Linked DNA regions of Tamandua tetradactyla. The protein of the gene in region 4 interacts with the protein of the main gene of each other region in a pairwise test. Links are inferred from orthologs where the notes say so. Each region holds a gene or a part of one and is shown on either strand. Other genes may lie near its edges. The genes, in order: PRKAA2, AEN, ELOA and HOMEZ.

Region 1 (7,565 bases), on a different chromosome or scaffold from region 4:
TTGGACATTTTCATGGCCTTAGAACTGTAAACTTGCAACTTAATAAATTCTGCTTTTTAAAAGCCATTCTGTTTCTGGTATATCACATTCTGGCAGCTTGCACACTAGAACAGCCCTACATGTTCTGGTTCATATCTACCTCCAAACTCACTAAAAATGACTACTACACTGAGATGTGAAATTAGCTTTTTATTTAGTATGTATTAATTTTGATTTCTCTTTTGAAGTGTTCCTCCCTAAATTTGTGTTCTTTGATTTTCTACTAAGTCACCCTTTTCTTTATTTTAATTCAACAAACATTTTTGGAATGATGGACCAGGTTTCACTAGCTCTGAGGGACATCAGATATCAGATAGGGTATGAATACATTGTTCATGAACATATGTATATTTCTTATGCATATGTTTATAAATATATAGAAAAATATGAAAATACATATAAAATATTAATATAATAATAATGTTTGCACATATAAATAGAATTGACAAATGCTATAGTAGCTATGTGAGTGTAATGGGAACCCTAAAGAGAAACATATAATCAAAAACTTGATTAGAGAAAACATTGAATTATCTTTCTATTCTCTCTATAAAAATATTACAAATATCAAGAGGAAATCAAAGATGATTGGCAAAAAATGTAGAGAACAAGTATTGTAGAGGTATGTTGATAGTAGTTAATTGATAAAAATATTTTTCTGGATTTGGAGATGTTTATAAAATCCGTTGTTTAAAAATCTGTAGATTGTTGTGATTTTTTCTTCACATAAATACTCACTTGCATACTTAGTTTTGTATTTTTTCCTTAAACAAATCCCCCAAAGTGTATAAACACCAGGTAGCAGATAACCTGAATCCACTTGGGTGCCTACAATTTACTAGGCACTGTTCTGGGAGCTAAGAATTTATCAGTGAATATAACAGAAAACCCCCTCTCCTTGGGAATGTAACATTTTAGTTGTGGGGAATCACACAAAACAAAAACATAATAAATAAGCTAAATAGCATATTAGAAAGTGACGACAACTGTAAGCAGTTGGGGAGAGTAAGGGTGATGGAGCACGCAGGCCCTTGGGTGAGACGAAAGTGTACTTTTAAATAGGGTGTTCAGAATTCACTTCACCTAGATGACTCAGAGCAAAGAAGGAATTGGTTATTGATAATATCAAGGGAATCTAGTATAGTGTTTTAGATATTCGGATGTCATTATTCTCCTTATTCAGGCCCTGCTTTGGAACAAAGTAAAATTACCCCAAAGGCTCTGTTTTAGTTTGCAAATGCTGCTGGAATGCAATATATCAGAAATGGGATGGCTTTTAAGAAGCATGCTTATTTAGTTACAAGTTTACAATTCTAAGGCCATAAAAATGTCCAAACTCAGACATCCAGGGAAAGATACTTTGAATCAAGAAAGGCTGATGGCATCTGGAACACCTCTATCACTGGGGAAGGTACATGGCTGGCGTCTGCTGGTCTTTTGGCTTATGGTTTCAAAAGCTTCCCTGGGGGCATATTCTTTCTGCATCTCCAAATGTCTCCGTCTGTGTCAGCTCTGAACTTTTCTCAAAATGATTCCCTCTTAAAGGACTCCAGCAAGTGGATTAAGGCCCATTTTGAATAGGTGGAAACACATCTCCATGGAAACCCCCTAATCAAAAGTTCCCACCCACAATTGGGTGGATCACATCTCCATGGAAACAACTTAATAAAAAAAATCCCACCCAAACAATAGGTTAGCCCCCATAGGACTGGATTAGGAAAATGACCATGGCTTTTCTGGGGTATATAACCGTTTCAAACCAGCACAGGTTCAGAGGAGGATAAAGTTGTAACAGTTGGGCCAGGGTTAAGAAATGAACAGCTAGCTGGGGCATCTTAGAGACTGGTACTAAACAATATAGGGACACTAAAACATTCCTAGGAAATAATGAAGATTGTATTTGCTAGAAAGTCTAGAGGGTTAGACCATCAAGGGATATAGCTCTTTAGGAAATTTGGTCTGATTAACTGCTGGGTTTTGTTTTGCTTGCAGAGTGAAGCAAATATGGAATCACAGCTGACATATTCAGGGCAATACAACAAAAGCTGACAACGTTCACAAAGAGTTGTCCTTTTTCGCCTTTCTTCCCTGCTTCACATTCAATTTTTCTTGTAAATAAGGATAACAACTAAAAAAAAAACTATAAAAAATTTTTTTATACCCTGTTATTTTTATACCCTGTTATTTAAAGGGTATATTATTTGCATACCCTAGAAATAACAAAAATAGTAGAATGGTACTGTTGTGAAAATGTAAAACTTTCTTAGACCACATGTGCTTTTTGATAAGTAGCTATGAGTAGAAAAAAAAGGACAAGTTAGAGCTGGATAGGAGTTCTGACTCTGACCCTAATGCGTTCAGCCTTTCGCAAATCATAAAGAAAAAAGCTCGGTGTTATAAAATGAGGATAATAAGTTTCTTTTATGACAATTAAATGAGATAGTTTTGTTTAAATGTGCTTTTTGAATCAACAAAGTCCCATATACATTTTTGGTATAACAATAATGCTACAAGGTTGTCCATAGTAGCTTTAGTATGATCACAGGTATGAAGTATGTAGTAATGTAAGTTATAATTATCAACAAATAGTTAATGACAGCACAGAATACTATAAAAATCCCATTTATAGTCTGTTCATGCACATTAAAAGCAACCTAAATGGGAAGACTTTTCAACATCTTTTAATGGGATGTTAAAAGAAGAGAGACAAATATTTTATCTTAAAAGCAGAATAGGTATTTTGTTTTCTTACTCACTTCAGAGAATACTGAAGGAGTGACTTCACCAAATGAAAATTCAGCATCCAAAAAAAGGTCTATTTTTTTTTCCAAATTGCCACCTAAGTAGAGTGATTTTTAAATGACAGTTCTTACTGACAAGAAAAATGATCTGAGGAATGAAGGAAAATAGCCTCTGTTCAACAGCTGTGCTACCTATAGTTTATAAGCTGTGATCATTTTTCATCAGATTGTTTTGGGTGTTTATATAAAAATGAATGTATGAATGTTTGTCATTTGTATTTTTAGCACTTCTCAGAAAGGAAACTTTTCTTACATCCTATTCTTTCATAGGATGTATTCATCACACATATAAACAGTGTGATAGACTTCCTGTATGAGGAATGTGACCTTGAAACCCTAAGGTCATATACATTATAAATGTTCAACTAATCGTCAGTAATTTATTCCCAAACAGCAAATAATCTTAAATACTGAAAGATAGGACAGTACTTAAGGATGGAAGAAATGGAGGAAGGAAGAGATAATTACTTCATTTCCCAGTTCTCTGTCAGTCTTGAATACTCTCTTTGGGTATCATGCTTCTGGTTTCCTTTATCATTTTTTTTTTCACTACCGCCTTCATCACATTTATTCTTTCTTTGATTTGTGCCCTTATGCTGCCCTTGCTCTTCCAAATTTGTTTGTCCCTTATGTATTTTACATTCTATGCTCACTACATTCCTTTTTTCATTTCTTTCACTATTTTCCCCTTGTAAAGCTCTATCACATACTATTCCTGTACTATATATTTACAGAAATGTGCTAAAATACAATCGAGGAAATATTTGTGCTTCTGATTTATTGGAAAATTGTGCAAATTAAAATTTAGAGCTCTGGAGGAGAGGATCCCTTCCATTCTTAAAATCACTGAGAATTACGAAATATATAAAGGAGGACAATTGAAGAGAGCACAGAATTGGGTTCTCTTTGTACCATGACCTGTATCAAAAGTCAGCCAGTCTACGCCTAGAGAAAACTTTCCTTCTGCTCTCCTCAAACTGCCCTTTGATCAAGGCCCTTCCCACCACCTCCTTTGCGCTCCCCGATTTCCTTATTCCCCCATTTGTTTACATCCCTCCCTCCCCACAATTTGGGCCTGTTCCTTTTATTTCACTTCTACTTCCACCATTCCCTAGGATTCTTCCCAAATCTCTCCCTCACACTTTCACTCTCTTCAGTTTTCCCTACGGGCGCCCTTCAGCCCTAAAAGGCCACTGACCCTCAGGTCCCTCCCCCCACTCCCGGGTGTTGCCCCCTTCATCCACTGCTACGCACTACTGGCCGGCTTTCTTTTTCTTTTTCTTTTTTTTTTTTTTACATTGGCAGGCACCGGGAATCGAACCCGGCAAGCATTCTTACCTGCTGAGCCACCGTGGCCCGCCCCTGGCCGGCTTTCGGCCCGCCTTTGAACTCCCCACACCCTGCTCGGAGCCCTCCCTCAAGTCCCCAGCGCCGGTTCCCTCCTCGCCCGGGGGAACGACCTTCGCCGCCTAGCCGTTTCGCCGCCTCGGGCTCAGCGCTCACACACCCATCACGCCCCGGGCGTGGGCACCTCACCTTCTCCCCTCCGCAACTCCACGCGCCCAGCCCATAGACTCCGCGCTTCCCACGGGCCCCGGCCCACTTCCAACCCCTCCTCCCGGGACCCGCGCCCGCTCTGCCAGCCGCGGCTCGCCGCTCGGCGTCTCCCCGACGCCCCCCTCCCCCCCGCAGGTCCCGCTGCACTGTGGGTAGACGGCGGCGGCGTCCGCGCTGAGCAGCCTGCGGAGCAAGGCTGCGCGCGCCGAAGATGGCTGAGAAGCAGAAGCACGACGGGCGGGTGAAAATCGGTCACTACGTGTTAGGGGACACTCTGGGCGTCGGCACCTTCGGCAAAGTGAAGAGTTGAGTATCCCACCGAGGCCGTGGCGGGGGGCAGCCTCACACGTGGGAGGCCGGGCAGAGCCGCGGGAACCCCGGGCAGGCACAGGCCCTGAAGGCAGGTGGAGCGGCCGGGGCCGCGCGGAACCCAATGGCTCCGGGGAGGTGGCGCCACCGCCTCCCGAAGCAGCAGCGGCTCGAACCTGGTTGGGACCTGGTGAAGAGGGGTCGGGGTGTGGGCTGGGGGACAGACTTTCCAGTGGTCTGGAGCAAGGTGCTCTTTCTTGGAACTCAGTTTTCCTCTTCTGTGAAACTGGGAGTTGGAGCAAGAACTGTAAGGTGCCTTACAGCTCCGAGACTGTTTGGATAGGACTAGGGAATAATACACGTTACTGATTATTGTTTCGAATCCGTTCCAGGTACCCTGTTTTAGGTGCTTAACATGTGATGGTCATTTCGTCTTTACAGCAGTATGATGAGACGTTATCCTCACTGGAAAGAGGGCGAAAACTCGGATCCCCAGAGGTTTAGTAGAATGCCCAAGGTCACACAAAAATTGGCAGAAGGAGAGGATGTCTAAGATGTCTCCCAGTTCTGGCATTGCTGGGAGGTCCCTGCCACCTCCAGATTCTTTAATATTCCCCGAGCCTCTGTTGGTGGGACTGGCTGTTTAGGGGATGCCTCAGGGACCAAGAGATGGGGAATCTCCCGGACGTGTGAAATGCTGGAATGCAGCTGGGTTGGGTCTGGGCGTAAATTAGAACCGCGAGGTCTGAAGGTCGATTGGTGTGTATAAAATGATTCTGGGAAGGCTTCTTGAAAGGGGGAGAGAAAGAGGTTCCTCGCTGTTGGACTTTGGAGGATTTGGGACTGAGAGTGCCAGAGCTGCTCAAGCAGATTCTACTGAAGTCTGTTCTCATGGTGATAGGGTCCCACTTTGGGGGTAGAACTGGTTCCTTTTAGAATTAATATTGAACTTTCTTTCCCCCACCCCGTTTATAAGAGTCACCTGGGATTTAATAACGTGCCCTCTCTCCGAAACCAGAACCAGTTTATTAATAGTTCTTTGTTACAAACACAAAATTATTAGTGAAATGTTGGCTTTTTTTTCCCTTGTAGAAATGTTGGGAAGCAAAATGGAGTTTTTATTGTGAGATCTCTATTTCCTAGTAAAAATTCATATTGTAATCTGAAGTCCAGGCTGCTAAATAGGTGGTAGAGGCTCCTTGCTGATGAATTCCTGTTGCCTTCATATATCTGATACTCATTCATTTCTTCAGAAAACATTTATTGAGCATCTACGAAGTGCTATATACTGTTAATAGGCAGTGGGATACAGCAGGAAAGAAACCATATACAAATCCCTGTGTTCATGGAGCTCACATTCTTCTAGGAGGGGAAGGCAAACAATAATCAAAATACATCCGTTAAGTATACAATATGTTTAGTGTTATTGAGAAAAACGAGGCAGGGAAGGGAGGATAGGTAATTTTGTGGGATTTGCAGTTTTCAGGCAAAACCTCACAAACAAGGTCGTGGTTGAGTCAAGTTCTAAAGAAGGTTGCAAAATTCTTTGAAGTTCTATTAAGACTGTGAATCCTAGATTATTTTGAAAAACCTCATAGAGTGGATAGTTAGGAGAATGTATTTAGAACGAATATAGGAAGATCTGGAGTTGTATTTACACCTGTAATGTTACTGAGGACTATTGTATTATAACATTATACAGTTACTCAAGCAAACAACTCCTTTGCCATCTGGACTTGTAGACTCCTGAAGTTATAGAACTTACTGTGTACTTTCAAATTGTGCTGAAGTTTTTGTCTTTTTAAAATTCCTACACTGTAATCTGAATGTAGGGTAGGCCATCCATCAGCCCCATTGTTAAGGGGCAACTTAAATTTCTTTTGTATATGCTCTTAAGCTGCTGCCAGGCGTTAGCTTTTTAAATTATAAGTCAAGAGATGGAGCTTTGCTTTTTGAGAAATCCTTTTCCCGAAGAACTCCTTTCTAGTGAATAACTAGTTGGAGCAGGTCTCCTAATACTGTGAGAGCCTCTCTAAAGTTTTCCTGTGGCTTCTCATCCAGGATTAGAAGCAATACAATGGTTTGTTTAATAAAAATTACAGAAATTACTACAATTTTAATCATTTAGCTCAAGAGACAAGTAAAACAAAAGCACATGCAACTATTAAGACAGTTTTTATTGAGGTAGGTATATTTTACATATAAAATTCTTCCGTATCAAATGTACAATTCAGTGATTTTTTAGTAACTTCACTGAGTGGTGCAAACAATGTAAATGTATTTTAGAATATTTTTACCCCACCCTCAGCCCCTCTCCCTCCCTCAGCCACAGGGATCACTAATTTATTTTCTGTCTATGTGCATTTGTTTTTTTCTAGACATTTTATATCAATGAAATAATTTAGTATGGGGGATGCCTGTGTCTAGCTTCATTAACTTAATATAATGCTTTTCAGATTCATGCATAATGTAACATCTATTAGTAGTTCATTCCTTTTTATTGCTGAGTAATATTCTATTGTATGGCTACACCACATCTTGTCTCTGCATTTGCCAGTAAATGGACATTGTTTTCAGTTTGGAGCTATCAACATTTTCATGCAAGTCTTTGTGTAGACTTATGTTTTCATATTTCCTGGGTAGATATCTAAGAATGGGATTGCTGGGTTATATCATAGGTTTATGTTTAACTTTTTGAGAGACTGCCAAATTGTTTTCCAAAGTGTTGCACCATTTTATGACCCTGCCAACAATATATAAGGGTTACTATTTCTTCACATCCTTTTCAATATTTGTTATTGTTTGTCTTATTTATTATAGCCATTGTAGTGGGTATGAAATGATATTTCATTGTGGCTT
Region 2 (6,877 bases), on a different chromosome or scaffold from region 4:
AGCCTGCCTCCGCCCTGCCGGCCTGCCCCGGGCCTACCCTCGGCCTACCCTCACCTCCTTCTGGGCCTCCCGGAAGGGGATGGCTTTGAGCATGTGCTGCCGAGTGACGCCGCTCCAGCGCGTGCGGTAGTCAGTGACGGGCATCTCGGGCCGGATGTACTTGTCGTAGAGAACGTCGCCGTGGTAACTGACCACGGAGCAGCGGGCCAGCTCGCTCACCCGCCCGTGGGGGCCCGTGCCCACCATCTCACAGTCGATAGCTACACACTTGCTGGGCAAGGGCCCCGTGGCTCCTTGGCTGCACGCCGCACCGCCACACTCCACCCGGGGACGCCGCCTCCTGCTGCGCACAGCTTCCGCACTCGCACTCGGCAGACCCTCCGGGTCGGGCCGGGGGGAGGGAACTGATTCTGAGGGGGCGCTCAGCAGCCCCTGCTCCTGCAGTAAGGCCTTCCGGGCCATGAACCGCTGGTGCTGTCGGCTCCTCCTCTTGTGCTTTCTCCGAAGCGCATCCTTGGCATTCAGGCCGGAGAGGGGTGGGCACAGATACTGGGCAGCCTCGGGGGCCTCCTGCGACACCATCCCAGCTGGCTCGTGGCTCTGAGCAAGTCTTGAAAGGTGGCCTTCCAACAGTGCGGCACCCTGGAGAGAAAGCATGCAAGCCAGGAGGGCTGGGTGAGGGCGGTGCCAGACAGCCCCACGCTTTATCTCAGGGCGCCCAGAATGAGCAGAGGAACTAAAAGCAGGTGCTGCTCTTCTGCATCCTCCAAAAGCCCTTTGGAACAGTCCCTTCGTCTACTGGGCTCCACAGGATATGCCACGCCGTGGGCCTCTAGGATCCCCCAGCTCTGTGCCACGCACTGGACAAAGAACCACTACCAAGAGTTCAGTCTGTAGCCACCGAGGCAGAAACGTTACCAGAAAGCATGCTAAGGGCCGAGGGAGAGGTCTAGGGAAGCAGAAAAGGCAGTATGACAACTGTGGGGAGGCTTCCTAAGAGGTTACATGTGCTGCAGATCAGTCACTCTCCAGGTGGAAGGGAGAGGAGGAGTTAGTCCCTCGCTAGTGGCAAAGGCCTGGAGGAGGGACCCAGGATGGAGGGAGGAGGGAAGAGGTTTCTGAGGTGTGAAGCACAAGTTGCACCACGGGCGGGAGGGCAGGGGCTGCTCCTTTCCCCTTGTTTTGCTTGGTCTTTTGTCCCCCTCTCTGGTGGTCCTCCTATCAGCCACTCCACAAGCTTCCCCTACCCTAAACTAGTCTCTGCTGGGCAAGTGAGTGAAGGTGCCCCAGACCCTGACCCAGGACATTTACAGCCTACCTGGGGAGCAAAGAAAGTCACCCCTGTGTGCTCTCAGCACAACCAGAGAAGAATTTATCACACTCTTCAAGCTAGATGGTTATGTACAGTCGACCTCTATCACCAGTAAATCAGAGCCCATTTGCCCTGCCACTTCCCCAACAGCCAGCCTAGGAAATGGCACACAGCAGACCCTGCTTCAGAAGTGTGCGAAGGGAGCTTAAGTCAGGTTGCTATTTCCCAGAGAGTAGAGTTGACCGCCTGGTTTGGTGGGAAGAGATTAGCTGGGCAATTATACAATGTGCTCGGGATGGGAGCAGAGGGATGCCTTCCCACTGCTGGTGAGGGGAGGCCTGGCAGTGGAAGAGGCACGCTGAAGGGTTCCAGGAAGGTCTACTGGGTAGCCCAGGAAAGGAAGGGCATTCAGACAGAAAACACAGAGGCAAAGCATACCATAGTGGGGGGGGGGGGGGGCACTGAGTTGGGTGCAGCAGCTGAAAAGCAAGGAGATGGGGGTGAGGGGAGGGGTGGAGCAGGGCCAGTGACAGGGAATGATCCCGGAGGGTGGGTAAACTGGGGCATAATCCAGAGAATGATGGGGAAGCACAAGATTTTTAGGGAGAAAGCAACAGGCTCACAACGGCCTTATGGGGAGAGTCTGGAGAAGATAAGAATGTGAGCAGAGATTAAGAGAAAAGGGAAAGGGAATGGGGAGAGGAGTGGTGAAGTGTCAGAGTCTGGTGACAGGGTGGTATGGGGTGAGGTCAGCATTCGCATGAGCAGGGCTTGGGGTGCCTGGAGAAGGCCCCATGAACCACCCTGACTGATCCACCCTCCCTGCTTGTTCACCCCTTCTCCCTCTGAATTTATAACCACCTTCCTCAATATAGCCAACTCACTGATCAGGGGTGACAGAATGCAGACCCTCAACTTGCCTCAGCCCAGCAATGGGAAGGACAGGACCCTAAAGGAACCAGGAAATCTGAACAGCCAGAGGCTGGGGGCTACCAAGCAAATGGCCGGTGAGGAGGCCGCAGGGTCGGGGGCTCTCTGCGCTCAGCGGCGAAATGGACTGCGCCAAGTCACCGTCCCTTCGGCGTAAACGGAGGGTGCTGATAGGACAGGGGCTTCCCTGACGCACTCAATTACCAGAAGAATCGGGACGGTTGTTTACAGCGCCCGTTTCCAGGCCCGGCCCCGCTGCCTTACGGCCGCTTTTGGGGGCGAGGCCTGAGAATCTGCACTCTGAGCCCGAGCGCCCCCCCGCCCCATGATTTTAACCATCGCCCCAGTTTGGGAAAACTGGGCTCGAGAAAGGCCCCTTGTGCGATTAAAAAGTAGGAGGGTCGGGAAACTTGGAGAAGAGCTCGGGGCGCTCACGCCCTCGGGCCGCGTCCGCCCAGCGCTGCCCGTGGGAGGCCGGCCTCGCCCAGGGAAGGGCCGCGCGTCGCTCACTTACCGGCCCGGCGAGTCCCGCCGCCCATCGCCGCCTCCTCAGGCCCGGGACCCCCGAACAGGCCGCAGAGGGCGGAGAGGCGGCGCCGGAGGCCCGGCTTGCAGCCCCACAGGCCCGGACCCCACGCGCGCGGCCCCGAGGCCCCGCCCCAGACGCCCTGACCCGCGCCCCCGCGCGCGGAGCCCGAGCTCACCTGCCGCCCGCGCGCCGCTTCCGGTCCGCACGTGGCTCCCGGCAGCCGGCGGGGCCACATGCCCGGGCATGCCCGGGGTTAGCTGCCCGCCTATTGGCTCCTGGAGCGACAGCGCCCGCCTAAGGCCTCCTCCGATTGGCCGGGAGCCTGCCTCGAGCTGGTTGGCTTAGACAACCGGAGGGGCGGGGATTCCTTAAAGGGGCGTGACCTGTGTCCGGAGCCCACCGAGCTGGCGGGAAATTTTAAAGGACCCGGAAGGGAGCGTGTGCACCGCTCGTCCTCCTGGCTCCGGTCCCTCCCGCCTCTTTGGACGGGATGTGGGCTTCTGTGAGCTCCCTGTCCCGAAAGCCGAGTGACTCACAGAGTACATACACTTCTGCAAAATGCGGTTAATCACCCCCACCTACCTCGCAGGTTGTAGGGATTCAGTGACATGATACCCGTGATGGGAACTACAGGAAGTCAGGTTTGCTCCTTCGGCGCTCGTCTTTATCAAGTCTCTGTCACCGGCTGGACACCGAATACACTGAACAACCTCAGTCCTGACCTCAGTTGCTCAAGTCTGGCCGGGGTAACAGGCAGGTTTACAGAGAATTCAGTGCAACGTGAATAATAACAAGAACAATTGATAAACCGCATTGATTGTGTGAGCACGAACAATATACTTATTTATTCTGCATGGGATTCTTATGCAGTGACTATTTCCGTTTTACAGTTGAAGAAACTGACAAACAGCTGGAGTAAAAAAAAAAAAAAATGACCCATACCAACTCCGTTTGGCCCCAGATTTGCAAGCAGGAGGACAAGGCAAAGGCACTCAGAAGTCCAGGGGTATAGACAGAGGAAGCTGCTCCCAGCCATATCTGACTGAAGTCTAGACTTGAAGGAAGCAGATCATGGGAAAAGGATGCGAGGGAGGTGTGCCAGTTGGAATCCGTTGTGTACCACAGAAAAGCCATGTCTTTTAATCATCATTCAGTATTGCTGGGTGGGATCTTCTTGATTGTTTCCATGGAGATGCGACCCACCTAATTGTGGGTGGTAACCTTTGATTAGATGGTTTCCATGGAGATGTGTCTCCACCATTTCAAGGTAGGGTTGCCTACCGGAGCCTTTTAAGAGGGAACCATTTTGGAAAAAGCTTAATAGCCACTAGAACCGACAACCCCCCAGGGAAGTTGTTGAAGAAGCCTGGAGAGAAAGCTAGCAGATATTGCCTTGGGCCTTTCTAGCTGAGAGAGAAACCTCAAATGTTATCAGACTTCTTGAACTAAGGTGCCTTTTCCTGGATGCCTTAGTTTGGACATTTTTATAGCCTTGCCTTAATCTGGTGATTTTCACAGCATTAGAACTGTAAACTCGCAACTTAATAAATTCCCCCTTTTCAAAGCCATTCCATTTCGGGTATATTGCATTCCGGCAGCTTTTACAAACTAAAACGACTCCTGAAAGCTTTGGGGAACCTGGAAGCTTTTGGCCTCTGCTCATTCACCAGCAGGTTTGCATTTTGGAAAGCTCACACTGGCTGCGGTATAAGAAGAATGGATAAGGCTTGGAGGAAGAGGAGTTGGGAGGTGAGCATGGAAATTCAGGCCAGAGAAGACAGTGATGGACAGAATGGTGAAAGAAACAAAGACGTAGGGACAGATTAAAAAACTACTTAGGACCGCCCGCCCTCCTTCTCCCCTCTCTTTCTCCGCCGGCCCGCCGCGCGGCGCCCACGCCCCGCAGCAGCCGACCCACCCGCCCTCCTTCTCCCCCCTCCTCCCCCTCCTGCTCCAGCCGCTCTCCAACCACCACGGTGCCCTCTTCCCCCGCCTTCACCGGCTCCTCCACCACCAGCCTCTACAGCCTTGCCGCCCTCACCTTTCCTCCTCCAGAACAGCTACTGGGGGAGTGGAGATAATACAGAGCAGCTCCCGGAGTCACGAGGGAGATCAAAGGGACGGCGTACCCCATCCTGGAACGGCTGACTATCTGGGAGAACCAGCTCCGGTGAGATCACCAAGGGGCACGGGCTTTCCTGGGTGGGACGGCAAGCGACCGGAGTCCCTCCCTTCCACCTTCCCAGGCCAGCTGGTAGAATTGGACAGGCGGTCTCCTTAGGCCGCGGCAGCTGGTGCCCCCACCACACGAGGCCCCCCGGAACAACTGAGATAGTTGGGTCGGAAATCCCCAGACTGTGGAGAACAGTGACCGGGGGATCCCTTCCAAACACGTGACTCCCCCGTTGGCTGGGAATAGTGCACTCTCCCGGGCTGCGACAGCTGGCGCCCTCCCGCCACGCTTGGTGCCCCAGGTCGACTAGCTAATTCGGCCGGACGCTCTCCCGTGCTGCGGCGGCCGGCGACCCTCCCCGCATTCGGAACCCCAGGCCGGCTGGCATTCTTCCAAGACACTTCGGCTGCTGAACCTCCCCTACGGCGAGAATTTTCCAGAGTTAAAGGACCCACAGCAACTTTCACTGGTGGAACCCGTAGACAAACGTGTGCCACGAGCGCCACCTACTGGGCAGGATAAGAAAAACAGAACCCAGAGATTGCACAGAAAAATCTTTCAACCTGTGGGGTCGAACACCCAGGGAACTCTGACTAAATGCCCAGACGCCAGCAGAAGATAACGGATCACGCTCAGAAAATTGAACATATGGCCCAGTCAAACGAAGAAACCAATAGTTCAAATGAGATACAGGAGCTGAAACAACTAATGCTGAATATACGAACAGAAATGGAAAACCTCTTCAAAAACGAAATCGATAAATTGAGGGAGGACATGAAGAAGACATGGGCTGAACATAAAGAAGAAATAGAAAAACTGAAAAAACAAACCACAGAACTTATGGAAGTGAAAGATAAAGTAGAAAAGATGGAAAAAACAATGGATACCTACAATGACAGATTTAAAGAGACAGAAGATAGAATTAGTGATTTGGAGGATGAAACATCTGAATTCCAAAAAGAAACAGAAACTATCCAGAAAAGAATGGAAAAATTTGAACAAGGTATCAGGGAACTCAAGGACAATGTGAACCGTACAAATATACGTGTAGTGGGTATCCCAGAAGGAGAAGAGAAGGGAAAAGGAGGAGAAAAACTAATGGAAGAAATTATCACTGAAAATTTTCCAACTCTTATGAAAGACCTAAAATTACAGATCCAAGAAGTGCAGCGCACCCCAAAGAGATTAGACACAAATAGGCGTTCCCCAAGACACTTACTAGTTAGAATGTCAGAGGTCAAAGAGAAAGAGAGGATCTTGAAAGCAGCGAGAGAAAAACAATCCGTCACATACAAGGGAAACCCAATAAGACTATGTGTAGATTTCTCAGCACCATGGAAGCTAGAAGACAGTGGGATGATATATTTAAGTTACTAAAAGAGAAAAACTGCCAGCCAAGACTCCTATATCCAGCAAAATTGTCCTTCAAAAATGAGGGAGAAATTAAAACATTCTCAGACAAAAAGTCACTAAGAGAATTTGTGACCAAGAGACCAGCTCTGCAAGAAATACTAAAGGAAGCACTAGAGTCAGAACCGAAAAGACAGAAGAGAGAGACATGGAGAAAAGTGTAGAAAGAAGGAAAGTCAGATATGATATATATAATACAAAAGGCAAAATGGTAGAGGAAAATATTATCCAAACAGTAATAACTCTAAATGTCAATGGACTGAATTCCCCAATTAAAAGACATAGACTGGCAGAATGGATTAAAAAACAGGATCCTTCTATATGCTGTCTACAGGAAACACATCTTAGACCCAAAGATAAATATAGGTTGAAAGTGAAAGGTTGGGAAAAGATATTTCATGCAAATAACAACCAGAAAAGAGCAGGAGTGGCTATACTAATATCCAACAAGTTAGACTTCAAATGTAAAACAGTCAAAAGAGACAAAGAAGGACACTATATACTATTAAAAGGAACAATTAAG
Region 3 (7,207 bases), on a different chromosome or scaffold from region 4:
TCATCTGCTAGCTTTCTCTCCTGGCTTTCGGTTTCATGAAGCTCCCCAGGAGGCATTTTCCTTCTTCATCTCCAAAGGTCACTGGCTGGTGGACTCTGTTTTATGGTGGTGCAGCATTCTCTGCTCTTTCTGAGTCTCTTTCTCCAAAATGTTTCCTCTTTTATAGGACTCCAGTAAACCAATCAAGACCCACCCAAATGGGTGGAGACATGTCATCACCTAATCCAGTTTAACAACCACTCTTGACTAAATCACATCATCCAGGGAGATGATCCAATCACAGTTTCAAACATACAGTATTGAACAGGGTTTATTCTACCTTTATTAATGGGATTTTGGTCAAAACATGGATTTTTCTAGGGGGCGTACTTCCTTTCAAACCAGCACATTCCACCCTCTGGCCCATAAAAAAGACATGTTTTCCCCATATACAAAATACATTCATTCCATAACAATATCAGAAATCCTTAAACCATTTCAGTAACACAAAGTTAGAAACAGTACAAACTCCTGTCAAAGTTAGTTACAGGCATGGTCTGTTCTAAGGCCAAGTTCTCCTCTGGCTTTGGACCTTTGAAAACTCATAACAAGTTATTTGCTGCCAACATACAAAGGAGGAACATTCATAAGATACATATACACATTTCTATAGGGAGGAAGGAACACAGGGGTCACTGGACCCATACAGTTTCGAAAACCCGCAGGGCAATATCCATTAGATTTCAAAGTCTGAGAGTCATTTATCTTCAGGGCATCTGAAAGCGGCAGTCCCACCCTTTCGAAGGGCCTACACAGCGGCCTGCCTCTCTCTGAATGCAACCTTGGGGGACACTGGGGAGACCACCTTTTTCTTGGCTCCACCCTCTCCAAGCATCGGGGGTGCACCCGGGCTCTCTGCCATCTCTGGGGAACACACTCAACCCCTCCATGTGGTGGCAGCCAGGCTCTCCCCAAACCCCAAGGAATGTGCTTCACCCTCTCCAAGGCCTGAGGTGGCATGACTCTTCCACTGCAACGAGGTGGAAGGCCCATCCTCTGCCTTTGGGGCAAATTCACCCTCTCCATGGGCTTGGGTGGGTCCATTCTCCTGGCCCGAGTCTTCTTGACTTCAGACCTCAGCCTCCATGGTTTTGCCTCTGAAGTTATTTTTCCTCCAATGTGTCCCTTCTCTGAACCCCTCAGTCCAGACTGGCAGCGGCTCTGTTTATACAGGTCCCACAGCACTCTCATTGGCTTTCTATGCAGTAGCCTTGGATCATGCCCATCAGACATAAGGCGTTTCCACAAATCCTTCCTGGATAACTCCATGTCTAATCCTGGCTTTCTCTGAAATGGCTGACTGGTTCCACATTTGGTTAAATCCTCACACAGGGTGCTATTCTCTGGGGTCTCCCTTTCTGGAGGCCCAGAATTTTCCAGGACCTCAGTTTCTGGTTTCTTTTTACTCAAGAATTCAATTCTCAGCTTATATCTTTCCTGTCGCATTTCACTATAAGCTGTGAGAAGAAACCAGGCTGCATTTTCCACATTTAATTTGGACATCTCTTCTGCTAAATATCCAACTTCATGACTTTAAAAATGTGCCTTCCAGCCAAAGCCACTAGTCAACTTTGCCAGATTATTTGCCATTTTAAAACAAGGATCGCCTTCCTTCCAGTCTGTAATGACACATGTCTCATTTCTAAGACTTTATCAGAAGTGTCTTTAGAGTCCACTTTTCTACCAACAGTCTCTTCACAGCACTCTAGGCCTTCTCTATCAAGTTTCTCACAACTCTTCCAGATTCTTCCCCTTATCCATTTAAAAAGCCGTTCCAACATGTTTGATATTTGCAAGTCACAGCAGCAGCACCCCACTCTCGGTACCAAAATCTGTTCTAGTTTGCTAGCTGCCAGAATGCAAAATACCAGAAACAGAATGGCTTTTAATAAGGGGAATTTAATGAGTTGCTAGTTTACAGTTCTGAGGCTGAGAAAATGTCCCAATTACAACAAGTCCTTTCAAACCAGCACAGGACTCTATTTTGGATTTCCTCAAGACTGGGCAGTTGTTGATCAGTTTGACCAGTTTTGCTTTGCCTTTCCTGATTATCTTCAGAGTGTGCTTTTACCCCAGCATTTACTTTCTACTTTTCATCACTACTTGGAGCCTAGAGTTGATTGACTCAAGCGACTTTTTCATCTTCTTTGCAGCCACCATCTTCCTGCCTTAGGTGTGGGATGGGCCCAAACCAAGGGCAGCTGCCAAGATGGCCAAGGAGCTAGAAAGGCCAGAGTAACATTTTTAGAACTGGTTAAAAACATTTTTTAACTAGATATTGGAACATACACAATTAACTGCTCATCAGAGTATTTGTGTATTTGAGTGTAAAGAATTCTTTACTTTCTAGGCAACCCCAACTCAGTCTGACATAGATGGGGAGGAGGGGGTGGGGCACCCTCTCCTGGAGCCTTCAGCAGCATGATAGGAGAGGAGCTGGGCATGCATTGTTTCTTTTTATTCTGGTTGTTGAGCCCTCTCTGGGTAACATGCACACACACACACACACACACACACACACACACACACAAAGTTTCATGGATCCTGAGTATTTATGCCAGGTCAGTTAGTCAGCAATTCTTCAAAAACCGTCCATATTCCATTACACCAGTGACTGTCTGATCACCACATTTTCAAAATCGAAGGAATTTAAGAGATTGTTCCATGTAAAGGCAATTGTTGTGCAGAGGAGGGAGACTCCCAGGGGAGGAAGGGCTGGAACTAGAATCCAACTCTGCTTACACCCAGTTTGATACCTTTTCCATTACAGCCCATGGCTTGAGTCTTAGGGCAACAACTGAGAAGTCATTAATCTTATATAGACTTTTTATCCAATGCTGTTTATATGACCCAGTTTGTGTTGGGTGGCAGAGATTCAAGGTTGGACAGGTCATTCACTATACTTGATAAACAGCCCAGTGGCAAGACAGAGGAATAAATGCACAATTTACCTATAACCTCCAAAGGGCTGGTTGCTGAGGGAATTCAACAAGGGGCACCAAGCCAAAAGTCAGGGGATGGTAGGATGGCTTCCTAGCACATTGAGTGAATGAATGCTTATCTGAAGAAACAACTTATATTGAGTTATTTTTTCCAGAGTTAGGACTTGGAAGAGTGGCCACTGGATTTTCCCACTTCGAGTGAGAGGTCAGACCAGGTGATTGCTCAGCAGGAGATCTGAATAGGATCCAATCAAATTTTATCTAATCAAATGACACAATCAATGTTGGCATTTTAAGTTAAGGCTATTGCTCTTTTTAGTAGTGATAATAATAGTAGTAGAAAATTTAGTGCTTCTAGGATGAGTGAGTTGTGTTTTGCATTGGTCTGACTTAGGCCCTATTGCTGATGGGCATGTCATCAGAAACTGTCATTTCTTCATTCATTCATTCAAGAAGTATTTATTTGGTGCCTATATACCAGACACTGCTTTGGTGAGAAAAGAGACACACAGGCTATTATAATCGCTTCCTAGGACTAATCGGTTTGACTTCAGACATACCTCTTTGTTTCTCTAGGCCTCAATTCCCTGGCCTCTTCAGAGTTGTGCACCACTCTGGACCGAGACTACTTAGATTCAGATTTTGGCTTCATCTCCTTCCTGTTATGTGACCAGGTTCATTTGGTCACCCTGAACCTTAGTTTCCTTACCTGTAAAATGAGTAAAATATCATAGTGTTATCTTGAGGATGAAAATAAGATAATCCAACCATGGGCGCACAGTGCTTATCCTGGAGTGGTCGCTATCATCGACTCCTGCTGACCAAACGGGACAACCCAGTTTCCCAGGCTCCTGAGGCCCCCTGACAGGACCACTGACAGGTGTTGATTACATCTCGGGCTGGGGGCGGGGTGGGGGGGGGAGGGTGATTGGCTATATAAGACTCGGGTCCGGCGCCGGGGCCTCATTCCATCGTAGCCTGCACGCTGGAGAGAGCGTCCCAGGCTGCACCCCGAGGACCAGCAGCAGGGCTGCCCGGGGTGGCCAGGCAGGGCCGGCGTGCCCCGACGAGCGGTCCCAGCGCCTGGCACGCACGCTCCAGCCAGGGACTCGAGGCGAAGGGCGACCGGACCCCAGGTTCTGGGGGCGGGGTCTGCGGCGGGTCAGCCCCGCGCCCCCCGGCCGAGGCCCGGAAGGGGCCAGTCGCGCTTCCGTCTCCGCCGGGGCCGCACGGAGGGCGGAGCTGCGGCCCGAGGACGCGACGCGAGCCCAGTTCCGGCGAGGAGGCCGCGCCAGTGACAGCGATGGCGGCGGAGTCGGCGCTCCAAGTTGTGGAGAAGCTGCAGGCGCGCCTGGCTGCGAACCCCGACCCCAAGAAGGTGAGCGAGGGGGCGGCGCGGCGCAGCGCTGGGCGTTGGGCGCGGCGCGGGCCCTAACGGTCGCTGGGCGGGCTCCGGATCCCGCGGGCGCTCGGACCCTGGGCCAGGCCCCGCCGGGCTCGCCGACCCGTGCGGGGAAGTTCACGGCGGATCCGCTGCGCCCAGCGCGGCGGGACCCCACGGCGGGCGTCGGGACTCGGCGGGCCGGGCCTTCTCCACCTCCCGGCCTCGGGGTCGGGGGGCGCCCACGGGCGCCGCGGGGAGGGGGCGCGCTCGGGTCCGAACCCCGCGTGTCCCGAGCTGTCGTCCCCGCGGGTCCCGGCTGCGCTCCCGCGACGCCCCCTCGGCACCCGCGCCCGCAGTTCCCGTCCGGAGAATTAGCTCCTCGCTCCCCGGCACTGCGCCGCGAGCTGCGCTCCATTCCTCTCCTTGCGAAATGTCTGATTTCTTGGTGTCTTTTGATGTTTGTTGGGAGAGGGAGGCGGTGTTGTCTTTACGGAATGGAGCCCCGGCTCGATGCGTGTGTGGTCCTGCGGTCTCTGAGACATTTTTATTGCTTTCCGGCTCTATATTAGAACATTGACCTTTTCGCTTTCTCAGTGAATCCCTTTCAAAACAAAACGAAGCCTCCCGTCATCACAGCTGAAGTCTTGGAAACTTAGGTGTAATTGAGAAAATATATCTGGCTTTGTTAGAAAGCTTTGATCTATGGTTTTTCGTTGCTGCGAGTGATGGACAACCATTTTTAATTGTACCTAGTTAGGTTAAAAAAAAAAAGTTAAATACAGTCGTTTCCTTTTCTGTCTTTCTGTTACCCAGATTCTTGATAGCCTTTGGAGAGTGTCTGGTGGATGTAAGAATGTTTTCATTGAAATACATCAATTAAAACACTTAAGGTGTTTGACATTCTCCTTCAGCATTCTAGCGAGGAGTTGAATCTCTGAGCTGGAGAGTCCCATTCCAAAAATTAATCCAGGCAGGCCATTGAGATAAATGGTGGAGAGATTTGGTTTCCAAACCCATCTACCAGCCTTTGGGGATTTTGGGGGAAGTTCTCTTTACTGAGTTTGTGCCCTCACCTGCTTTTGGTTCCTAAGCGAAAAGTCTGTATAAAACTCCAGGCTCATAGTTAGTGTTTAGTGGACAGTAATCACCACTCTTTAGCTTTAACTTGTTTCTTAAACTCTTTAACTTGCTCCTAAGCTGTCATAGATGAAGTTTTCTCCATTACTAAAGGCTACAAATAGTCTCTTACCATCAAGTCACTTTCAGATTCTCTTTATAACCAAGCTCAAAGATCTACTTCTTTAGTGAGCCATTTTAATTTCAAATATGACAACTTAATTTCTTCAATTGTGTTGTGTTTTTCTGTTGGAGCTTTAGTACCCAGTGGCCAGGCATATTTACAGGTTTCTTTTTACAATAACCCTTTGTGGGCATCTAATAGATGGTCATTATTCTGAGTACTAGTTTGTTTTTCTAAACACTGTAAGGGTTGTGACTGATTTTTAAGTCATAAAGCAATATTATGTAGCCACTCCCTCTGCAATTTGGTCTTTATTTCCATCAGATAAAAAATGATCTATGTGTCATCTGTAGTCATGTTTCCACTAGGATTTAAATTTGGAAGTAACTTTTCTCACAGTTGGTTTGCTTGAAATATGAAATTAGGAAAAAATTTGTTTGGTTTCTCATTCTACCTGAAGTATTAATGATTTCTGTAAGCATTTGGACTTTCTCTTCCCAGATATAAAATCATGCTGAACATATGGCTTGGCATTGTGAAATGAACGTTATGAAGATGAGAAAACATTGGGAGATCATGTTTGCAAAAGGCATGATAGTTGGCATTCAGAAATGGGCTAAGTGCAGAGGGAAAATTGCAAGCTGGCACATTGGCCTTCCTCTCAACCTTCTGTTAATGCAACAAGCTCCCACAGGTTGTTTTTGAAATTGCAAGATGATTAGATAGCAGTATTAAATTTGCAACCAAATCCTGAATTCAAACTATTATTAGTCAAACGTTTGATTCCACACCTATGTTCATGTATTTTCTGATATTAATTATTGGTGTCTAACTATAACTCCATTTCATTTTTAATTCCATCTGTGAACTAGGCTTCCTTGGGGAGAAGTTACCAGGCAGACCTAGGGCACTTGGTTTCTGTTCCTACTAATTGGAAACAGTTTTCATGGCTGATACAGTAATGTAGCAGTACTTTTAAAAGTTACCTGTCTGTGTTACATTTTGAATGCTGAAACTACAAAGAACACAGTTCAGTGGCAGTTGGAGAGCTAGAGGTCAAGGGTATGAACATCTTTTGCTCTTTGGGTTTGAAAGTGTGTGTGGGGGGGACAACTGGAATTCCTAAGCTTATACTGTGCAAATGTTTGACGTTTCACAATGATCTGCTATCAGTTCTACAGTTGATCTCTTGGTTTGATAACAGCAAGCTCCTGCCTGAGGTTGTCTAAACACATAACCTTGTTATTGCTCTGTTCTTTCTTGAAATTCTTTGAAAATTGTAGGACCAAATATGTTTGAAAATCTTGGAGGTTTTAGTTTATCTGCTTCGAAATTGCGCCTGCTAACCTGAATTGAGACAGTGTTAGGCTTTGAGATAAACATGCCTTCAGTGACTTCTGGCCTCATCTTTCTATGTTGGCTTTGTAGAGGTCCTGGGACTCTGTTCCCATGGTGACTTCCTTTACTGTATGGAGTCTAAACTGCTAAATAATGTAAAAGTGAGGAGAAGTTGATCTGCTTTGTTCCGAATCTGCTAAGAGGCCTATGAGTTACTGCTCCGTTTTCTGCTGCTGCTTCCTAAGGATAGCATTATTATGTTGG
Region 4 (7,991 bases):
GTGGCGGAGCACCAGAGCCTCAGGGCTGGATCCACTTTATCTGAGAAGAGGCGGCCGACATAGGGGAGGGGAAAAGGCACCCGGGGGGGCGGGGGGAACCCGAAGACTGGGCGGGAAGGAGTGGGGAAAACCGCGGATGGCGGGGAGCGGACCAAAAAGAGCAGGGGGAGAAGGGGAGAAACCAACGAAGTTTGGGGAGATTGGGGTGTTAGATATGAGATTGCTGGTTAGATATGAGTAGAAGGAACCCAAGGCACAGGCGAAAGGAGATCGGACAGGACGTTTAAGGAATTAGAAAAAAAGCCAAATGGACGGGGATGCTGCTGCCCTTCTCTTCTGTCAGTGGGCACTGGGACGAAAGTAAATAGGCTTGTCAAGTCTACCCAGTAGAAGGTTATGTTACCTCTTTGGGATTTAGGAAGTATGGGTGAAGAGTCCACCCCAGTTGAAGTTATATAGATTGCTTGCTCACTGTTATACCCATTGCCACCTCAGGTCCTCCGGCCCTGCCCACCCTAGCTTTTACTCAGCCATAATTGCCTTGCTTATTCCCAGGAACTTGGCCACTGCTCCCGGCTCCCTGACATGGTAGGATTCCCTTGTCACTCCTGATGGTTCCTGGCTTCATTCTCCAAGGACCGGCTGGGAAGTGATGGCAAGTACCAGTTAGAGCTTCTTTCAGACTCCAGGCAGCCCTAGGACTTAAAATAGAGTCAGAGCAACTCTGGGCCTGTCCTTGTATCCAAATAAGGGGCTGGTACACTCAGGGGCTTCCAGAAAAACTCCAGCCTTACCTTTCTGGGATGCCTTCTGATGCTCTTTAAGCACTTTATGGACCTCATGTGTCAAGAGAAAGTGAATCAAGGGAATCACTATTCTGATTCTGCTACAGAAGAGAAGGAAACCACTGACTAGCTGTATAATTAACTTCACCTCTTTGGGCACTAGTTTCTTCATTGGGAAATTGGGTTTGGATTAGGTGATCTCTATAAGGCTCCTGGCATTGACATGTTATGATCTGGGAATGGGAGGGCCTAGTTTAGAAGACACTCTAACAACCTATGGCTGTAGGTCTGCATAGAGCATGGAGTGTCTGGCAGGGCCGTGGATGGTCCTCCAGTGTTTGGCCCACGTGTTCCAGAGCCTACGAAGCAGCCTACAGCCGCAGGGTATTCCGAGGCTTCTTCCAATCCACAGCTCATCTGCCCCTTGCCTTTGTCCTTGCCCCACAGACTCCCAGTCTGGGTGTTCTGCCACAGCTCTGGAGAGATGCTCAGAAACCCCAAAGATGAAACAATATTGGGGGCTCTCTTGAGGAAAAAGGATTATAATAAATGGAAAACATTTCACGTCAAGAATTAAGGCAACTTGAAAATTCAATGGCACCAGGAGGTGGCAGTCTGCTTCATGGCTTGAGCGAGTGAAGTGGGAAAGCTGGACCATTTTATTCTACCCATTCATTCGTGCCCTTTGTCTCTCCTTCTTAACCTTCTAATGAGAGTGCTTCCTCCTCTGGTTGCTTGTTTTTTCTTTCCTCTTACTCTGTTCCTAAGCGCTTTGCTTTATCTTTCCTTGTCCCTTCTCATAATTCCCACACACACCCTTTAACATACAGAGTTATTTACCTTCATTTTCTCTATTTCCATTTGCCCCCTTCATTCTTGTTGATCTCTGCTATTCCTTCTGCCTCCAGAAGGAGTGAAGAAACTACTTCCTTTAATCCAAGACATGGTCGAACCACTTTCCTCTCTCAGGCTTCTTGAAAGTCTTCTAGAAAAGAGAAGAGGGAAAAGAGGCAGCATGTCCTGACGGGAACAAAGAGCTCCAGGTAACCAGCTCCCCACATCCCCTTCCCTGCTTCTGTTAATGATTTCTCAAAAAATTCTGGATCACCTCTTGCTTATCACTGTGTGTGTGTGTGTGTGTGAGAGAGAGAGAATGTGTGTATATGTGCATGTGCCCACACATGCATTCAGAATAGAATGGGGCTTGTTACATGTCCCTCCTGTCCAAAGCCTTAATCCTTTGAAGAAAAGTGGCTGAAAGAGAGGAAGCATGGGTCGTTCTCTGAACAAATGCTCATTTGAACATCATCCTTATCACCTTATGAAGAATACAGAAAGAATTTTATGCATCTTGTGGATCACCTTTGGGTCAGAGTTGAAGCTGAGTGAAGAGAGAAACTGTAATGGAAGCCTCCAAGTAATGCACTGTTTAGCCATCATTGAGGAGGGTAATGGAGAGAGAGAGACTGGGTTGAGACTCTGTGTGATAATCTCTGCCTTATGTGTATGTGTTACTGTTAATGTTGTATTAACAATAGAAATGGTCACGCTTCCTTAACACATCTGCTAAAATCTAGTAGTGTTTTGCATGCATTATTTCATTTAGTTTTCAAAACAACTATGTGAGTTAAGTTATATCATTATCTCCGTTTTAGAAATGAGGAAACTGGCTTAGAGAAGCTCAGTAATGTGCTCAAAGTCACATAGTAAATGACAGAGTTAGTATTGTGAACCCAGGAAATCTTGAATCCAGAGCCTATGTGCATAACTATGATGCTATATATTTTTTCCTTTAAAAAAAAATTAAAAACCTTGCCATATGTCATCTCTTATTAGGAGATTATATTTCTTTTTTTTTTTTTCTAGGCAGTTCCCTCCAGCCTCTCCATTACGTCTTTTTTTAAGATTTATTTATTAATTAAAAAAATAAATAAAACAAAACAGCATACATAATCAGTAATTCACAATATCATCACTAGGAGATTATATTTCTGATCACACTTTGCATTTCCATCCTCCCAGGCTCCTGCACTGGCCTGGAGAAGGCAAAGTACCAAGGGCCCCAAGCTTCATCTACTCCTCCCAGGAGCTTGCTGCTGCTTCCTGTACCAGGTCTCTTTGCACCTGAGCTCTGTGCAGTATTAGCAAGTTTTCACCCCATCTGCTGCTAGAGAACTTAGGGAATTCATTTGAACTCCTGCCTTCCCTTACACTGGAATTCTCTCCTGGCCCGAGCTGGCTCTCGTTGCCTGTTGGTATGACTCCCTCCCTCCCTCCCTAGCCTTGAATAGGCCAGTTCCCACAGTTCCTGCTAGAAGAGTCCCTGGCTAGGACAACTGCGGATGGTATGTGATTGGGCTCTCTTTGGGATCCCTGGGAATACTGAGTGGGTAAATAGGCTCTGATTTGGGACATACTGAGCTCTTTCTCTGTAAGAAGCACCATGGCTCATCTCCTCCCCTATTCTCAGGGTATAGAACAAACACATGAGTTCTGATTTTTCTAATATTGAGCTGTCTTGGCATGTGAGCTAAGCTGATAGTTTCCCCCATTGTTCCTTCAAGGTTGGTTCGATCTAATCCGACAAGGGAAACACTAAGAGTTTGGTAGGATCTTTAAGGATCCTGTTAAGTGTTAAAATGTTAGGCACTGTGCCAGGGACTTTTCTCTAAAAGCTGATAATTTTATGAACAGGAGAAATTTTGGATGCCACATATCAGCCATGAACTGGGAATTGCCAGAAACAAAACCATTACTGTGGTAAGGGACTTTGGTCCTTGAAGCAACACAGCAATAACTCTATTGTCCTTTGCTCTCATCCAGACTTCAGATGTCTTCCTGCCCATCTACCTGTTCCATAGCTTTCCTTTTGTTCCAGTATCTTTCTTCATGAATGTAGCTCATCATTTCTTCAGCTTCCCAATCTAGCTCCCATATTCCCTTGGTTCTGACCCTAAGGTTTCTCTTAGGTTCCTTTGGATCCTTGTACCCCCAGATCATAGAATCAGAGACAGGAAAAAGCTTGTCTTTAGAGAACAGTTTTCATCTGGACAGATGAGAACATAGGTCCAAAGATGGGAATGGTCAGGGAATTTGTCAGGGCAGCTTCAGTTGGGGCTTAAACCCAGACATCCTGACCACATCCCATCCCCAGACTAGGAAATAGGCCTCTACACAGTCAGACACACTGTTTTTCATGACAAGGGATACATCATAAATGAACACGTGTTTCATTTTCTGCTGGTACATCATTCCCTCCCCTATTCACTTGAGGAGAAACAAAGTGGACATATACTTTTCACTGTGTTCCCAGTCTTGGCACTCTTTTGGGTGACGTTACTAAAGAGCAGTGCATCAACCCGTTGGAAAGCTAACCTGGGGGGGAAAAATGAAAGTTGTTATGTGAACCCCTGAAAACCACTTAACAGAGCCTCTCCACCCCCATCCCAGTGCAGTCCTGTCCACTATGTCCAAACCCACTAGTGCTGGACTTCATTTCAGCTCTGTCAGATAAAAAAAAAACTCATTTTTGAAATAAAGTTGAAATATGAAAAAGTAATAAGATATTAAGAAGGACTCTTTGTTTGGGGCTAAAGATGGCAAGATGCCCTCCTCCATTTCTTCTTTGTCATCTCATTTCTTTAAAATCCTGTTCCCATTCTGTTCCTCTGTAGATGGAAAAGTTGGGTGGCAAAGAGATAGAGGAGTTGGGCAGTCCTGATATAAGACACCTCGGTAAGATCACACTACCGTTTGAGTAGCAGGAAAATTATCAGACTCAGAAATCTAGTGCTTTGGTTCTCTGGCACCCACACCAGCAACTGGTGCAGTTAAAGGGATCAGCTTGGTGGGAAAAAAAAGTGTTTTCCCTTGGGTATGGGCCATCTGAGTTGAATTCTGTTCTGCAAGCACTGGAAGGAAGAGTAAAACTCATTTCCGTATAATTAAGGTCAACTCTAAAGCAAGAATGAGAAATATGATGGAGAGGTAAAAGTCAAGGAACTATGACCAATTCAGAATGGAGTATGAGAAGTGGACTGACTAATAAAGGGAGGAGTCCTTGGAAAAGATCATGTTCTAACATAGTGTTGACTCCCACATCACTGAATGATGAAAGAGCCCAATTAGCCACAAAGTAGTGAGACAATGTTCCTACTAGGGAAACCCTAGCCAAAGAAAAATGAGATACTTCCTCATTGCATCATAATGACCAAGTTGTGATGTCACTGTAGAGTATCCACCCTTCAATATGTGTTGTAAATGAAGCCAGTTATGCTGAAGGGTAAGGTCAGCATGAGGAGCAGGTACCCAAGGAGAGGTAAGTGGGAGCGCTATGGTTCTTTCCATGGCTCATTGCTTAGGGTCTCCCTGTGGCCCCAATATTTTTCCAGACTTCTCACATCTTAGTTTGGCAGTAGGTTTGTCTGAAATATATCTTCTACAGACTCTTCAAAGTTGGGTTTGTTAGCTCAAATCCTCAATACTTGTAGTTCTGATCAGTCAGCCCTCAGTTCCCTCTGGCTCTGGATTTTCTTAGGAGACAGGACATAGAACATTGGAGCCAGAGGTCCCCTAAATGTGGGGCAGAAGCTGACCATATATATTTGGTGCCCTAGGGATAGATACAGATTTTTGGGTGCTTGGAGCATATAATTTTGGGGGTCCTTTTAAGGAAAAATGAATCCATATTACTAATACACAATTAGGCATAGAAGTGAACGTTTCAAAATGAAAAAATATAGCAACAAATTATGAAAGCTAACAAATACCACAATATCACAAAAGTAAGATTTTAAAAACTATCTGCTTGGTAAACCTACAGAATATCATTTTTTCTACTTTTTTGTGTGTGCTTTGATAGCTATTTCATATGATGGTTGTTTTGTTTGGAAAGTCTAGAGTTAATTGAATCTTTTTGTAGTTGATCACTTTTTTTTTTTTTTTTGGCATGGGCAGGCACTGTGATTCGAACCTGGGTCTCTGGCGTGGCAGAGTGAGAATTCTGCCACTGAGCCACCATCACACCGCCCCATGGTTGATCACATTTTAAAATTATTATTGGTAGTTTAGAAAAGTTTCACTTTCATACCTAGTGGTAGTGTCACAAATAATTAGGACTTTAGTCAACTTTGGGAAAACCTGTCAAATTTCTTTTATATATGTGATCTAATATTTTAGAGCATTTGAAATTTTCCTTTGCAATGACTAACTAATGTTATACGCCCTTTGAATTAATGACATTAGGAGTATTCCTGGAAACTATCTACATAAGAATTTATTCACAGAACTGCAAACCACATAAATATAGTTACTAAATCCAAACTAGGTGTATCCCCAACTCAGTTTCCTTAGCCAATTCTCAAATGCTTGTGGCCTTTCCATTGCCACCTGACAAAAAGGGAAGTGGGATGAAGGCGAAATCAGAAAGGAAAGAGTCATCAATCTTAGCCAATTGCAGTTAAAATATATAATTTTGAGATTTTACAAAAACCTATGATCATGTGAACACATTTCTGGGGCTCTTCCAGCCTGTGCACGTGTGGGCCCTGAAATTTCAACTTCCTTAGTCACAGGATAGATATGCCTCTGGTTAGCCCCTGCTTATCTGAATCAAGCAAAGGGAAGAATGTTTTCACCTAAAATGGGGGATTGACCTTTCTACAATGAAGATGAACTGATGAATCTCCTTTGTTCAACACTAATCCCTGGAAAAACTGGGAGGGTTACTGTCTGGCTAACTGTGGGATCCTCCCATCTCTGAAGTATCAAACGGAACCTTTTCCTCCCTGTACTCCCCCATCCCATCCATGCCATCTTCTAAAGCTTCAGGGTGAAACCTACATAAAAGAGACTTCACCCTGCATTCCAGATATTCTCCTCTTCCCTAAATTTGTCTTTGACTCTCCCTCCACTCCCAACTCTGGCAAGTGTAATCTTTCTGACACAAGAAAGGGAGCTGAATTGTTCATCTTTCACAATTCCAAGCCCATGATCAGTGATGTCCAGAGTGAGTCACTGAACCCGTCAGGGTCAGGTGCTTAGTTCCCACAGCCAGTTGCGTGGCTTTCCAGTCAAATGTGCACGAGTTCCTCCCAGTCAATACAGTTTCATTTAATTGTTTGGATTTAAAGGAATGATCTCCCCACTGGAAACTGCAGGCTGCTGCTGTCTAAAACGTTTCCCTCTTCCTTCCTGTTAGTTACAAAGCACTGGGGTATTGAAATAGTCACGATTTGGAAGACCGTCTGTATATTATACCACCAACCTCGGCTCCTTCCCTGAGGGACCAAAAGTTTCTAACTCTGAAGCTTAGTATGTGTTTTCTATTGTTTTTGTTGGATATTAGTTTGAAGAACATGGGACTGGCTGGTAGAAGTGAATATTGTTACTAAATGTAACTAAGGAGAGGAGAGAGACGGGAAAATTCAGGGCCAACAATGGAAAACGGAGCTCAACTCTGAAGCAGAGATGTATTTGTCTGGCAACTCTGAAAGCGCTCTAGACCTGAGCGGACCAATGAGGAATGTTTCCCTGGTGGGTCGGGGGGGGGGGGGGGGCGGGGGGAGGGAAGAGTTTTGAGGTATGCAGAACACAGGGCAAAGTTTGAGGCAGTTTTATAAACCATTGTAGATATATAAACTATTAAATCATCTAAACAGGTAAAAGACATTTTCAAAGCCCCACATGAGAAAAGAAGGGACACTTCTGAAAGATATTATTCCTAAATTTTAATTAGAAGACAAAGATCCTAAATATACAAACGTCTGGTCTAGAACTTTGTAGTGTGTGAGATAGTGCTCTTGTCTCCCTTTCGGAGACCAAGGTCCCCCAATTACGAGGCAGATCTCCAGGTCCTCTTTACCAGGGCAGGAAGGAGGGGTTCTGTGGATCTGGCGGTTCCGACGAGGTGACTTCTGCAGGCTTTGAGAACACCTGTCTGGTGCCAGCGTGTCCAGGCGCCCGGCTCCTAGGATCCTCGTCTTTCCGGGTGCTAAGACATCTGATCCATCTGGGGAACAAGTTCCCCGTTGTGTTAGGCCCTTCTTTGGAACTGACGCTGCTAGAGGCACAGTTAGGGCCTCCGCTGGAGAAGGAGCCAAGCGTGCGCAGGCTGGGAAGGATTCCTGGAGCTTTCCACTGGAGAAAAAAACTGCAGAGGTGTTACTGGCGACCCAGGCAGTTCAGCGAAGAGCTCGTATCTCTCCT

Evidence for each region.
Region 1: the proteins of HOMEZ (region 4) and PRKAA2 interact in binary tests that used the Homo sapiens proteins (3 or more experiments, as listed by UniProt). The two-hybrid records come from large-scale screens. The link is inferred for Tamandua tetradactyla from reciprocal best matches to the Homo sapiens genes HOMEZ and PRKAA2.
Region 2: the proteins of HOMEZ (region 4) and AEN interact in binary tests that used the Homo sapiens proteins (3 or more experiments, as listed by UniProt). The two-hybrid records come from large-scale screens. The link is inferred for Tamandua tetradactyla from reciprocal best matches to the Homo sapiens genes HOMEZ and AEN.
Region 3: the proteins of HOMEZ (region 4) and ELOA interact in binary tests that used the Homo sapiens proteins (3 or more experiments, as listed by UniProt). The two-hybrid records come from large-scale screens. The link is inferred for Tamandua tetradactyla from reciprocal best matches to the Homo sapiens genes HOMEZ and ELOA.

The regions. Positions count from the first base shown.
Region 1 is NC_135328.1:164,519,889-164,527,453, reverse strand, and holds the start of PRKAA2 (5'-AMP-activated protein kinase catalytic subunit alpha-2), read left to right. Parts: upstream 1-4,560; 5' UTR 4,561-4,608; coding exon 4,609-4,702; intron 4,703-7,565. UniProt on the Homo sapiens protein: Catalytic subunit of AMP-activated protein kinase (AMPK), an energy sensor protein kinase that plays a key role in regulating cellular energy metabolism.
Region 2 is NC_135338.1:96,585,323-96,592,199, reverse strand, and holds the start of AEN (apoptosis-enhancing nuclease), read right to left. Parts: upstream 3,009-6,877; 5' UTR 3,007-3,008; coding exon 2,947-3,006; intron 2,886-2,946; exon of another isoform or gene 2,757-2,885; intron 643-2,756; coding exon 55-642; intron 1-54. UniProt on the Homo sapiens protein: Exonuclease with activity against single- and double-stranded DNA and RNA. Mediates p53-induced apoptosis.
Region 3 is NC_135328.1:202,486,113-202,493,319, reverse strand, and holds the start of ELOA (elongin-A), read left to right. Parts: upstream 1-4,202; 5' UTR 4,203-4,284; coding exon 4,285-4,359; intron 4,360-7,207. UniProt on the Homo sapiens protein: SIII, also known as elongin, is a general transcription elongation factor that increases the RNA polymerase II transcription elongation past template-encoded arresting sites.
Region 4 is NC_135340.1:31,582,711-31,590,701, forward strand, and holds the start of HOMEZ (homeobox and leucine zipper protein Homez), read left to right. Parts: upstream 1-4,970; 5' UTR 4,971-5,045; coding exon 5,046-5,103; intron 5,104-7,991. Other genes in the region: PPP1R3E (protein phosphatase 1 regulatory subunit 3E), read left to right, coding at 1-44. UniProt on the Homo sapiens protein: May function as a transcriptional regulator.